4 linked regions of the Saccharomyces cerevisiae S288C genome follow. The protein of the gene in region 3 binds, or shares a complex with, the protein of the main gene of each other region. Each region holds a gene or a part of one and is shown on either strand. Other genes may lie near its edges. The genes, in order: MRPL9, MRPL36, MRPL51 and MRPL39.

Region 1 (3,331 bases), on a different chromosome or scaffold from region 3:
ATATGTTAAGTAATGCATTCCCCCATTTAACATCCGAACAAATCGCAAGTTTTCTCTCTGCATTAACTAAACAATACAAAGACTTAGTGGTCTTCAAAGGCACTTTGAGGGACTTTTTGGTGCAAATCAAAGAAGTCGGAGGTGATCCAACAGATTATTTGTTTGCTGAAGATAAAGAGAATGCATTAATGGAACAGAATAGACTAGAGAGGGAAAAAGCTGCCAAGATTGGTGGGTTATTAAAACCTTCCGAACTTGATGATTAGAGGCGGTGGCGTATCATTCTTTAAATTTCCAATATTTTTTCCCTTTTATTAACTAGTCTCTAATTTATAACCACGGGGTTTTCATTTCTTTTTCACTTCATATTGTATGTAAATTGGTTCTTCAAAGTTCCAATACTCTAATATAGTACTAAATACTATTTAGCCAACTTCATGGAAAAGTAAAGAATATTATTTGAAGATTCTTAAGTGATTACCCATTTTATTGTTATTATTGATGTATGTACATGATTGTAGTAAAATACTTATACGCCTTATGCTCAAGTTTTTTTGATTGCATCTTGAATTTTAACGAAACTGTTTTTGGGCCCAGCCACAGAGCCTTTAACCCAAATAACATTATTTTCATCGTCGACTTTCAAAACTTTAACATTTTGGATAGTAACATGCTCGTTTCCCATATGACCAGGCATCTTTCTTCCTGGCAGTACCCTACCTGGGTCTTGGTTTTGACCATAAGAACCACCGTGTCTATGCATAATAGATGTACCATGAGATGCTCTCAAACCCTTGAATCCATACCTTTTCATCACACCAGTAAAACCTTTGCCTTTGCTGACTGATCTGACGTCAACATATTGGCCTTCTTTGAAAAAAGAGGGTTTCAATAATGTGCCAGGTGGTATTAATCCCTTTTCATCTTTAACTCGGAATTCGGCCACATGCTCTTTTGGGTTAACAACTTTAGAAGCGAAATGACCAAGCATTTGTCTGCTAACTTTAGACAAATGCCTTGATCCGTACCCTACTTGACACGCGAAGTACCCATTGACCTCCGAAGTTCTATGCATTATTACTTCAACATTATTAACTTCTAATATAGTAGCGGCGCTTCTTTCACCAGTAGATTTATCAAAATAAGGCATCATTCCCTTCTTACGAGTAATTAAACCGCATCTTTTTGGTAGCCATTTTCTCGCATTTGCCAGTTCAGGTGAGTGATTAATCGCTGGAGCCTCGGTTGTTATACTGTTAGCAATACTAGGAGCCACTAGAAAAGGCCGAGTAGAAGAATATCTAACATGAAGTTTTGATATGCTAAATATTGATCCCTGTAGGAACTTCGACATGGCTATATTTGTTCTCTCTTGCTTTCAAAGAGTTGCCCTTTCTCGTCCCAGTTGTCAATTTATCGTCCATATATTTTTCAATAAAGTTCGTTTGACAAGGGATTACCCGAAAACAAATATCTCGCGACTGTAATAGGAGAAATGGCATTAGCATTTCAATTAAGGAAAGAAGAGGATCATCGAGAAACGAATTTATGGTGCTTATTTACTGTTACAACATTTCATGATTTTGAATTTTATTTATACATGTACATTCTCGTACGGTGTTATTTCGTAATTATGGGATGTGCCCAGTTGCTTCCTTAAGTCTTCCGTAGAAGCTTTAAAAGGTAAGATTTCCCCCACACTAGGAGGCTGCAAGATGTCAGTGTCATCCAATAACCCACTAACACGGAAATTTATTGCATTTGACAACGTTGACGGCGGTTGTGATAAAGAAGATGATGTTGTAGTGGATGAGTTACCAGGGAGATATTGGGCCTTTATTAAATTTCTTAAAGATCCTGCAGGCTTATAGCGAGGTTTCATAGAAAGTTCTGATGGGTTGGTCATAACAACACTTTGTCTAAGCTGATATGGAAGGGGCGTACAAAATTGCTTTGTCAAAGATGTTGACGGTATTTTCGTAGGCGAACTGTAAAACATTTCAGGATGATCCATTGGATTCAACGCTGTCCCATTAAGCCTAGCTGTAGGTACATGTTTTAGTGTTTTTGGAGGTTTAGGCCTTCCTTTGAATGACGTCAAGGAATGCGAAGAGGTGGAATAAATGAATTGGGTAGGCGTGGGCAAATCTCCGATGTTCTCATAATTTTGAGGATGTTCTAACGGGAGGGGATAATTATAGTAGTAATTGTCATCATTGCTCTGGTTGCAGTGATCTATAAAATATGTAGAATATTGCTGAGCAGAAGTAAGATTTGACTGACCCGAACCCTCCGAAAGGGCCCGTACGGGAGCCTTTGCAGAGTGAATATGGTCCTTAGCGACCGTGTCAGAATATATTGATGAGGTAATTCTCGTTGAAAGACCATTCGGTGGTGGGAATGTAAGAGATAGAGACGATTCGGGAATCACTTTTTCTCTGGTTGCTACTTCTGAATATACTGACGATGCAATGTTTTTATTCTCTTGTGGTGCCGGCACTTGCAGATAATCAGTTGCATCTTCATATTCCTCATTGGCGCTGGAACTGGAATCAATTTCTTGGACAGTTGTACTTCCGAAGTGACTCTGTTCAATTAATGTAGTATCATTTGGATTGTCTTGAGAGCTCATATTTACACTTTTTCTTGTAGCGATGTTTAATTTAGAGTCACGCCGTATCGAAGAAGTTACAGAGGATCGTATCGTGCTATTACTTTTCTCAAAATAAATGTTATAAATGCTTCTTATTCTGTCAATATTTTCTTCCTCCTCTCTCGAACACTGAGGCTCGAGCCCGCTACGACTCGTATAATTCGATTTAAGTCGATTATCGTTGTTATGGCTGGACTTTTCATTTACATCAGGATTTGACGTACTATCACATCTTTGATCACAGTCTTGCCCAGTATTTGAGTGTTGTGGTGAAACAATCAGCTCAGAATTCTCTAACGATTCGAAAGAAATCTTATTCGAAAGGTCAATGTGCTTGGAGGGGACCGATAACTTGCTGTTATTCTGCGAAGCCAGTGAAGCAATATTATAAGCGGAGGGTGCATGCTCATTGATACGCCTCACATAATCTTTGAAAGATTGTGAGTTTTCGATTGACGGTTGCAAAAAATCGTCATAACCACCATAAATAAACCTCTTTTCTGTGGCATTGCTGTCTGAGTTTGCAGAATTCATAGAAGAATCCATCTTCGGTAAATAGTATAAATCGCCCTCAAAATTTGGGTCAAAATCCTGCATAGAAGGTTCTTTTTTGCATCTCCTATATACTACTATTAAAACGACGGATAGTACTATAATAATAGCACCAATGGGAACAGC
Region 2 (2,796 bases), on a different chromosome or scaffold from region 3:
TTTAACAATCTGAGAGTAAAATCGTCTACTGATATTGAAGAACGACAATTTTTCTTGAAAATCAACACGAATGCAAAAAGGGAAACTAAAATAAAAGAAATCCTCAAAAGTAATTGAACAGATTTCGAGTCCTAATTGCAAGTAAAATTATGTATACAAAGTACGTGATAAGTATCGCAGCAGTGATTCAACACTCGAGAAGAGTAAAAATTTTCAATTTTTTTCCACTGCGCTGAAATATTACGAGGCGTAGAAAATGATCACTACAATGCCGTTGCTGCTTATTGCAGCGTAAGTGAGCTTCATTCACAGACCATTTGCCTCGATAATCCATGAATCATATCTGGTTCATATTATGTTTGTAAATGTGTGTCTTGTTGCACTTAATCTATCGCGATAGCGCCAAACCAAGCGTTCGCAGAATCTTCGTTGTCAATATATACATATGTAGACGTATGTGTATATGTTGCGGTATATACAAGGCTGTTTATGTAGTCTTCAAACAGATGCGATTGAGATCTATGTCCCAAAAGGAATATAAATTGGTTCGAGAATAGAAAAGTAAGGGGAGCAAACACTATTCACTTCTTGTCTCTCTTCTTACTGGCCAACTTACCTGATTTGATCTGTTGTTCACTATCGTCTAACAGAGATAGATAGTCATCCATACCGAACGCTTTTTCAGAAACGTCTTCCTTCTCCTCCTTTTTAATCTGTGTTTTCTTTTTATTTTCTTCAGATAGTTCAACTGTTTCAGAGCTTGAATTTGGGGTCGTTGAATCGACAGAAAACAAAGAGCTATACCTCTTGTTAAATCTGTCCAAGCTACCACCAGAATTAGCATCCACAACGACTAGGTCATCCCTGCTAGGATTCCACAGCGGATTATTTCTCTGGTCTTGAATTAATCTAATTTCACCCTTTGGATATTGGGATCTCCGGATAACTACACTTCCATCACTCAACTCCATTTTGACATTGAATTGGTGATAAATAGCCGGTCGTGACTTCCCCAGTTGAATTTTTTTTGCAGGCCTTCTTGGCAAAGTAATTCTTGTAGAACCAGGATATGACCCTGTGGAAGCAAATCGCTTCGCAAATATAGACTTCAACATTAGGAGTGAACAAAACGTGTGTTCGTTTGCGTTGGTACCCGTTCTTTCTGGAGGCATTCTTAACTTTTAGGAATAATAATGATACCCTTTCATTTTAGTTATTTGATTTTGATGCATTTTGCACGAGATAATCGCTCTTTACGGTTTGGGGACAAAACTCAGAAATATCACATACGTAGTTATGGTTTTATTGCACATTTGGCATATTTTGATATTGAAATAAAAGAAAACCTACTTATTACAGATCGACTTCATCAACAAATCCCTTGAGCTCGCTTTTCATTGTTTCCGCGGTTTTAGGATCTAGTTTAGCTATTTTATTTATGATATCTTGGAAGCTCGCTGTTTTAACATCAAAACTTTCTTGTTCTTCTTCATCTGCATCAACGTCATCCACGTCATCGTCTATACTTGCAGGCACCTTCAAGTTCTGATCAGTGTCCATCTCTTCATTTTCCAAAGCAGCGTCGTCTGGCTCTTCAGTTATGGCGCCATTATCATCAAAATCATCACCAGCAGCGATACCCTTATCCTCCTCTATGGCATTTGAGGACATTTGACTACCTGCATCCATATTTATGTCCCCATCAGCATCTTTATTGGTGTTAACACCCATTCCCTCTTCTGAGTTCTTGTTTTCGGGTACCATGGATTCTTTAACAAATAACATTGTCTTGAAATACTTCAACTTGTATTTATTATACTCATAATTTCCTTGAACCATGCAACCAAGTTCGTATTTTACTATCCTTCTTATCTTGACCAAGTCTAATTCTTTGAACCATCCAGTTAGTTCATTCGCCTTATCTAAATATTCGACGTTGTGAAAAACTTCTGCAATGTTTGGCTCACCAATTAATAAATCAATCTGCAACATCAGGTACCACGGTATTCTTTTTCCATCAAATTTGAACCTGCTGTCAATACCGCCTGGAGTGTCTGATTCGAATACCAGGGGTGGTGGCTTTGGTACATTCTTTTTCACTATGGGAGAAGATAGTAATTTCCTTTCAATCTTAAAATATTCTGTTTGATATTGGGCGTATTCCACTGAACTTCTGGGGTCTATACCAAATTTGATATATGTATTTCTCCAAGGCCCCATTGTGAAACGATAAGATATGAGTGCCAGCGCTATCTTCATAGTATGGTGTATCTTCTTCGGGACAATCCCATCAAGATGTCTTTTAACCCAAATTGGACGTCTAGCGAAGAGCTCTCTCAAAATTTTCAAGCATTCCTCCAGCGATTCATAAAATTTAGAGTCACTTTTAGTGCCTGGATAGACTTTTGTTTTCTTCGCGACCTCAAAATCGTACAGGACTTGTTCATGAGCTTGGGACGGTATAACTGTCTTATCACTAAGATCATGAACAAACAACTGATAGTTTTTGATATATGTTCCCTTCACTTCTGTGACACCGTTTTTTTTTTTTTTCGCAAATGGATTAGCTTTATATTTATAAAGCAGGGGGAAACCAACCATTGATAACTTAGGAGGTGGCGGCAGTTGGAAATCTGTACTCGGAATTTTAACGCTACGGTCTAAGATCAAATTCCCGATGTTTTCCTGAGGTTGAGAGTCATTATCTGGTACAGAATTGACAAAACTTTTGAAATTATTCCATTCCAGAGAGCCAAAGCTACTTTTGAACTCTCTTGCAGAGGGGACATTATCCAG
Region 3 (2,587 bases):
GTATTTCCTTCTATACTCTTCCAAAAATAAAGTATCATCGTCGTCATTAAAATCCGGTGTTCGCCTTTTTTTGTTATTACGTTGTTTCAAGTATTCGGTGTACAATGCATTTGTAAGCGTAGAAACACTATTATCGGCCCCCTTTCTCTTCGCAAGTATACCTCGTATTTCGGGATGAACAGGCTCTCTTTTTATATTCGCAAATTCCTTCTTTACTAATTGATCTATTTCATTTTTGTAACCATCTGGTATTTTCCCTTTATCAACAAAGCTAAGGCCGTCCATCAAATCTAAACGTTGAATACCGTACGGTTGCTCTTTCAGATATCCTAGAAGTTACATCTTTTATATGTTTCAGTCTTATTCCATATTTATTAGACTAGTGTGATTTGCAGGGTGTAAAGCGGGTAACCAAATACAAGAGGTCATATTTCAGGACATGATCATATAACAATGGCAAAATTGACTTTAAATCTTAAATATCAGGAGTCTTATCTGCCCCAAATTATATATACAAGTATAATTATCTCTCTCTATTTCTAGAATTTTCTTATATACTAAAGCTAAATTCTATGCCTTTTCGCAGCATGCAGAGGCGACCATATACCCCTCACACTACTGTTCAAGCTTTCCACGTTATCATTCTTTGTTCTTCTGCGTAAAATGTCTCCATCAGAATCCTTCAATAGCTTTAGCTTGTTTTCTACATTGTCAATGTTCAAGTTTCTCACACAAATAACTTTTTCACGCCCATTTGTGTATTCTGCCCTCAACAAAGGATGTCCAGACTTCCTCATCACTTCAAACTGTATCCATGGGAACTCCTGGCCCCATTTATCTAATCTCTTTGAAGTCAAAAATTTCCTCATGCCTTCCGAAGACCCTCCCCAGTTACAGAATTGCAAAGTAATCTTTCTGCATGGAAACACGAATGCTCCAACTCCATTACGACCTATGGAATTTCGTGCAATAGCTTTCACAACCATTTCTCCATATATTCGTGTCTGTGTATCTACTTAGTCATGGTTTATGATAATCGTATTGATTGATCTTTTTTATCTCAGGGCTTATGATTTGTTGTAATTCTTATGAGCATCCCTCATCCGAAAAAGACGGAAAGCACCGTAACGTATAGTGCGATAAACTTACAGAAAAGAATAGTATTATTTAAGGGAGTTAAATGGAGTTGTTTGATGATATAGGCAGATCAAACTACGCTTTACAGTCCAGTAAACTTAACAACGAAAAATGTGTTTAGTCAAAACTACGGCTCATTTGCTTTTTTATTCCTTTGTGTATGTACAGATTAAGACACAAGAAAAAATTTGAACAATTATGATTAATTGAGAATAACTGACTAACAACTTTTATGTACCAACTTAATCTTTCAGATTTGGAGGAACGACGTTTTATTCCTATGTAGCTTCTCCAATCGCATTCAAAGTTCTTGAAAAAGACCAATTTTCTGCTTTGCAAAATAAGATCTTCCCGTATTTTTTCCAAATGCAAGCGGCATCACCTGTCATCCTGGCCCTTACCGCTCCAATTGCCTTGACAACAGGACCATTATCTTCTTTGGTGGTTGCATCTGTCAGTGGGCTAACCAATTTGTTTTGGTTGTTGCCCTGGACCCATAAAGTTAAAGAACAAAGAAAGAATATTGCGAAGAAATACACGGGTAGTGAATTGGAAGCAAAGGATGCTATATTACGTAAAGAATTTGGCAAGTCGCACGGATTGAGTCTTTTGTTCAATCTTTCTAATGTTTGCGGGATGCTTGCGTACGGTGTTTGTTTGTCAGGTGGTTTGTTAAGAAAAATTCCAAAATAATTATTTTACAAGTAAATATATATATGCAAGATCATTTTTTCGTCATTCCTTTGCCAAGGTGGAGATGAAGTTCGCAATCGGAATTTTTTGACCCTCAATTAAAGAATAAGGGACTCAGTTCTCTGCTATCCTGATCTTGGCTAAAAATAACTAAAAGGGGAATTGTGCTGTTTGTAGGATCTTAAAATAAAAGAGAACAATATTTATCTTGAAGTTTTTTCTATTTTTTTATTTCTACAAGCTTTTCTTATATATAGACCTAGCAATCCTATATTATTAAGCCGGAAAATCGTAACGAATAAAAACGAATAAAGGAGATACTAGAAAGGGCCTACTTTTTAGCAATTTGAGCTTCTAAATAATTTTTTAATTCCTGTGCGAAAACTTGAGATCTCAATTTATCAATTTCACTTTCATCAACAACAAGATTCAATAAATCTTTGTATTGCTTTTCTAATTCAACTTCATTCTCTTTATGTAAAAAATCGTAATCACCTGTATCGAGATCCAAATCCACCAAATCACCATCTCCAAGTCCAAAAGATCCAGAGCTGGATGGCATAACCAAGGAGTTTATGTCACTCCAATTCTTTTGAAGTATGCCAGCAGCGTGTTTGTTATTTTGTTTAGTACCTTGTTTAACCTTCAAATCTAACAACTTCTTATAGATTTTTCTCGCACCAATCTTTTTATTAAGAACATTATTAACTTGAACTTTCAAAAGTTTGACATCAATATCGATATCATCTCTACAAAT
Region 4 (2,468 bases), on a different chromosome or scaffold from region 3:
ATGGAAATAGGTCTGCTTGGAACAACCAAGGAAATAAGTCAAACTATGGTGGTAACAGTACATGGGGAGGTCATTAATCACCAAAAGGAGAACCAATATCACCCAAGAAGAAATCAATAAAAAAGACTTTAATATTACCACGTTAATAAGAATAGTTATGAAGATTTCGATGTTTCGATGAAATACTGAATCTCGATCTTTTTTTTTCATTTATGCTTGCATTTGTATGTCACGAGTTTTCCTTGATTCTAACTTTTACATATACGTATGTATGTATGTATGCATATGTGTTTTTGCATATCTAAATGAAATATCAACTTTATTATGAGGGAGTTGATTATTGTAATGTAATTTTATATAACTTCTTTTTCGTTAGCGGAATTTCTTTCCGTTTGAATCGTATACAAAATGTATGTATCCATTACTTATTTACAGGATAAATGAAAAAAAATGCGTAACGTCTGCGTATTCGATGGGCTTACATGCCGGGGCTCGTGCTTATTCATATTTCTTCACTTGGCTGTACGCAAGAAATCCAATGGCTTTCTTTCTGCCACTTTCCTTTTCTTTGCTTCTTTGAAAAGCACATGCCGTTTCACCACAGGATCGTATCTGACCTGAGTAACCAAAGGTGCACCTTTCTTAATCGAGATGTAACGAGAGTATCCACTTGCCGCTGTAGACAATAGCTTTATAACACTATTCTTAGATTTCACTTTTACCATATCGGCACATAAATATGGAAACAGTTACGATGTTGTATTCTTACTATCTTCCGCTGTAGGGGAGCAGTCAATACGTTTGTATGCAGTGAATTATAGTTTTTTCTTATTCTGATAGAAAATACTGGTCGTTTGCCACGACATGATGAAAAAAAAAAAAGCCGAACTTGAAAATCACAAGTGGGATAAATTGTGGGGTAGTAAAGGCATCGGACAGTCTGTTTGTAAGGCCTGCTAGCAATGAACGTGCTATCTTTTTATCTGCATATATAGGAAAATAGGTATATATCGTGCGCTTTATTTGAATCTTATTGATCTAGTGAATTTATTGAGTTGCTTCTTGGGAAGTTTGGGAGGGGGTTTCGGCGTTTTCTGGCTTCCTAGCGACGAAAAGCATCATTGGAGTGAATAACTTGGACTTACCACCGGCAACTAAACCAACCGCAGCATTTTCTAGAGCAGCAGTAACTTCCTTGGAACCTTCTGGGGCTAGACCTAATTTTTCCATTACAGTAACCATTGCTGTAGTAAATTGTCTACCCAAGTAAGAAGTTCTGAAAAATGTGGCCAAATTAGCTAAGTTTTGAACGTACTTCCACTCACCAGTTAATGGGTAATACCAAGGGATTTCATCATCATTGTCCGCCAGGTCTTCGCTAACGAGGACTTCGAAACCACAGTTCTTCAATGCTTTCCTAGCCACGTCGACATGGAACATCTTTGGGATACCATCACCTAGTTCAATTTCATAAGCGATCTTTCTATGTTCAGGATTGTTTTCGTCATATTTATCAGTCATTACCCATTCGTAAACAGCAAAGGTACCACCCGGTTTCAAAACCTTGTAGATTTCGCTGTATACACCTTCTAATTTTGGAGCGTGACATGTGGCCTCAATTGCATAAACTTTGTCGAAAGTGTTTTCTTCGAAATCCATTTTCATGAAATCACCCTTTACAAAGTCCATTTGGTCACTCAAATTGTATTTTTTAGCGTAATATTTTGCCTTGGCAATTTGGTAATCGTTATTGTTTAGACCGATGACGTTACAACCGGTAAATCTTGCAATCTCTCTTGCTGGGCCCCCAACACCACAACCAACGTCGAGAACTAAATCGCCTCTTTGAATACCAGCCTTGTAAGCTAAATAATGTTCATGTCTTGCTATCGAGGCAGCGAAACTCTCACCTTTATAAAATCTGCTGAAATGGAAAGAGGAACCCCAACCATATTCATAGAAATCTGTAACGACGTTATAGTAGGAATGTGTGGCTTCATTATAATCCTCAAGACGACGTTCTTCGGCATCTTTATCGGTTCTACCATCCCAATTTCTCAAGTACTTCTGAACGGCTTCCTTTTGGGCAGAGTTGTTCTTCGACATCAATGCACTCAAACCTGTCTTTTTACCAATATCATCACCATGTAACTCCCTAGTGAATTGGGCCTGTCTTTTTCTCAATTCTGTTTCACTCATCTTATGCTGCCTACTATATTATTATTTTATTCTTGTTTTTTTAAATTATGTAAAACTTAAATCGAAAGTAAAACAGATAAGGGAAACTTGAATGAAAATTAACAGCTTATAAATTACAAAGACGAATGGAAAGAAAAAGAGAGCAGCAGAGGATAGGAGAAAACACCCGAACTATATAAAAAGCAATGAAGAAGTTATCGGCAACAGCAAGTATTGGAGGTTTCTCACCAATCTTCGCATAAAACGCATGCTTCGTAAGGCGATAAAAA

The links.
Region 1: MRPL51 (region 3) and MRPL9 share a complex: the UniProt entries of both Saccharomyces cerevisiae proteins name them as parts of the mitochondrial large ribosomal subunit.
Region 2: MRPL51 (region 3) and MRPL36 share a complex: the UniProt entries of both Saccharomyces cerevisiae proteins name them as parts of the mitochondrial large ribosomal subunit.
Region 4: MRPL51 (region 3) and MRPL39 share a complex: the UniProt entries of both Saccharomyces cerevisiae proteins name them as parts of the mitochondrial large ribosomal subunit.

What each region holds. Positions count from the first base shown.
Region 1 is NC_001139.9:935,530-938,860, forward strand, and holds MRPL9 (mitochondrial 54S ribosomal protein uL3m MRPL9), read right to left. Parts: upstream 1,355-3,331; coding exon 545-1,354; downstream 1-544. Other genes in the region: exportin CRM1, read left to right, coding at 1-266; TOS2 (Tos2p), read right to left, coding at 1,595-3,331. UniProt on the Saccharomyces cerevisiae protein: Component of the mitochondrial ribosome (mitoribosome), a dedicated translation machinery responsible for the synthesis of mitochondrial genome-encoded proteins, including at least some of the essential transmembrane subunits of the mitochondrial respiratory chain.
Region 2 is NC_001134.8:483,389-486,184, forward strand, and holds MRPL36 (mitochondrial 54S ribosomal protein bL31m MRPL36), read right to left. Parts: upstream 1,116-2,796; coding exon 582-1,115; downstream 1-581. Other genes in the region: transcription factor TFIIIC subunit TFC1, read right to left, coding at 1,354-2,796. UniProt on the Saccharomyces cerevisiae protein: Component of the mitochondrial ribosome (mitoribosome), a dedicated translation machinery responsible for the synthesis of mitochondrial genome-encoded proteins, including at least some of the essential transmembrane subunits of the mitochondrial respiratory chain.
Region 3 is NC_001148.4:728,190-730,776, reverse strand, and holds MRPL51 (mitochondrial 54S ribosomal protein mL43 MRPL51), read right to left. Parts: upstream 987-2,587; coding exon 564-986; downstream 1-563. Other genes in the region: SNT309 (Snt309p), read right to left, coding at 1-285; YPR099C (uncharacterized protein), read left to right, coding at 664-1,020; TMH18 (Tmh18p), read left to right, coding at 1,249-1,295, 1,392-1,830; LEC1 (Lec1p), read right to left, coding at 2,162-2,587. UniProt on the Saccharomyces cerevisiae protein: Component of the mitochondrial ribosome (mitoribosome), a dedicated translation machinery responsible for the synthesis of mitochondrial genome-encoded proteins, including at least some of the essential transmembrane subunits of the mitochondrial respiratory chain.
Region 4 is NC_001145.3:250,792-253,259, forward strand, and holds MRPL39 (mitochondrial 54S ribosomal protein bL33m MRPL39), read right to left. Parts: upstream 726-2,468; coding exon 513-725; downstream 1-512. Other genes in the region: transcription elongation factor SPT5, read left to right, coding at 1-77; ERG6 (sterol 24-C-methyltransferase), read right to left, coding at 1,048-2,199; MIN4 (Min4p), read right to left, coding at 2,371-2,468. UniProt on the Saccharomyces cerevisiae protein: Component of the mitochondrial ribosome (mitoribosome), a dedicated translation machinery responsible for the synthesis of mitochondrial genome-encoded proteins, including at least some of the essential transmembrane subunits of the mitochondrial respiratory chain.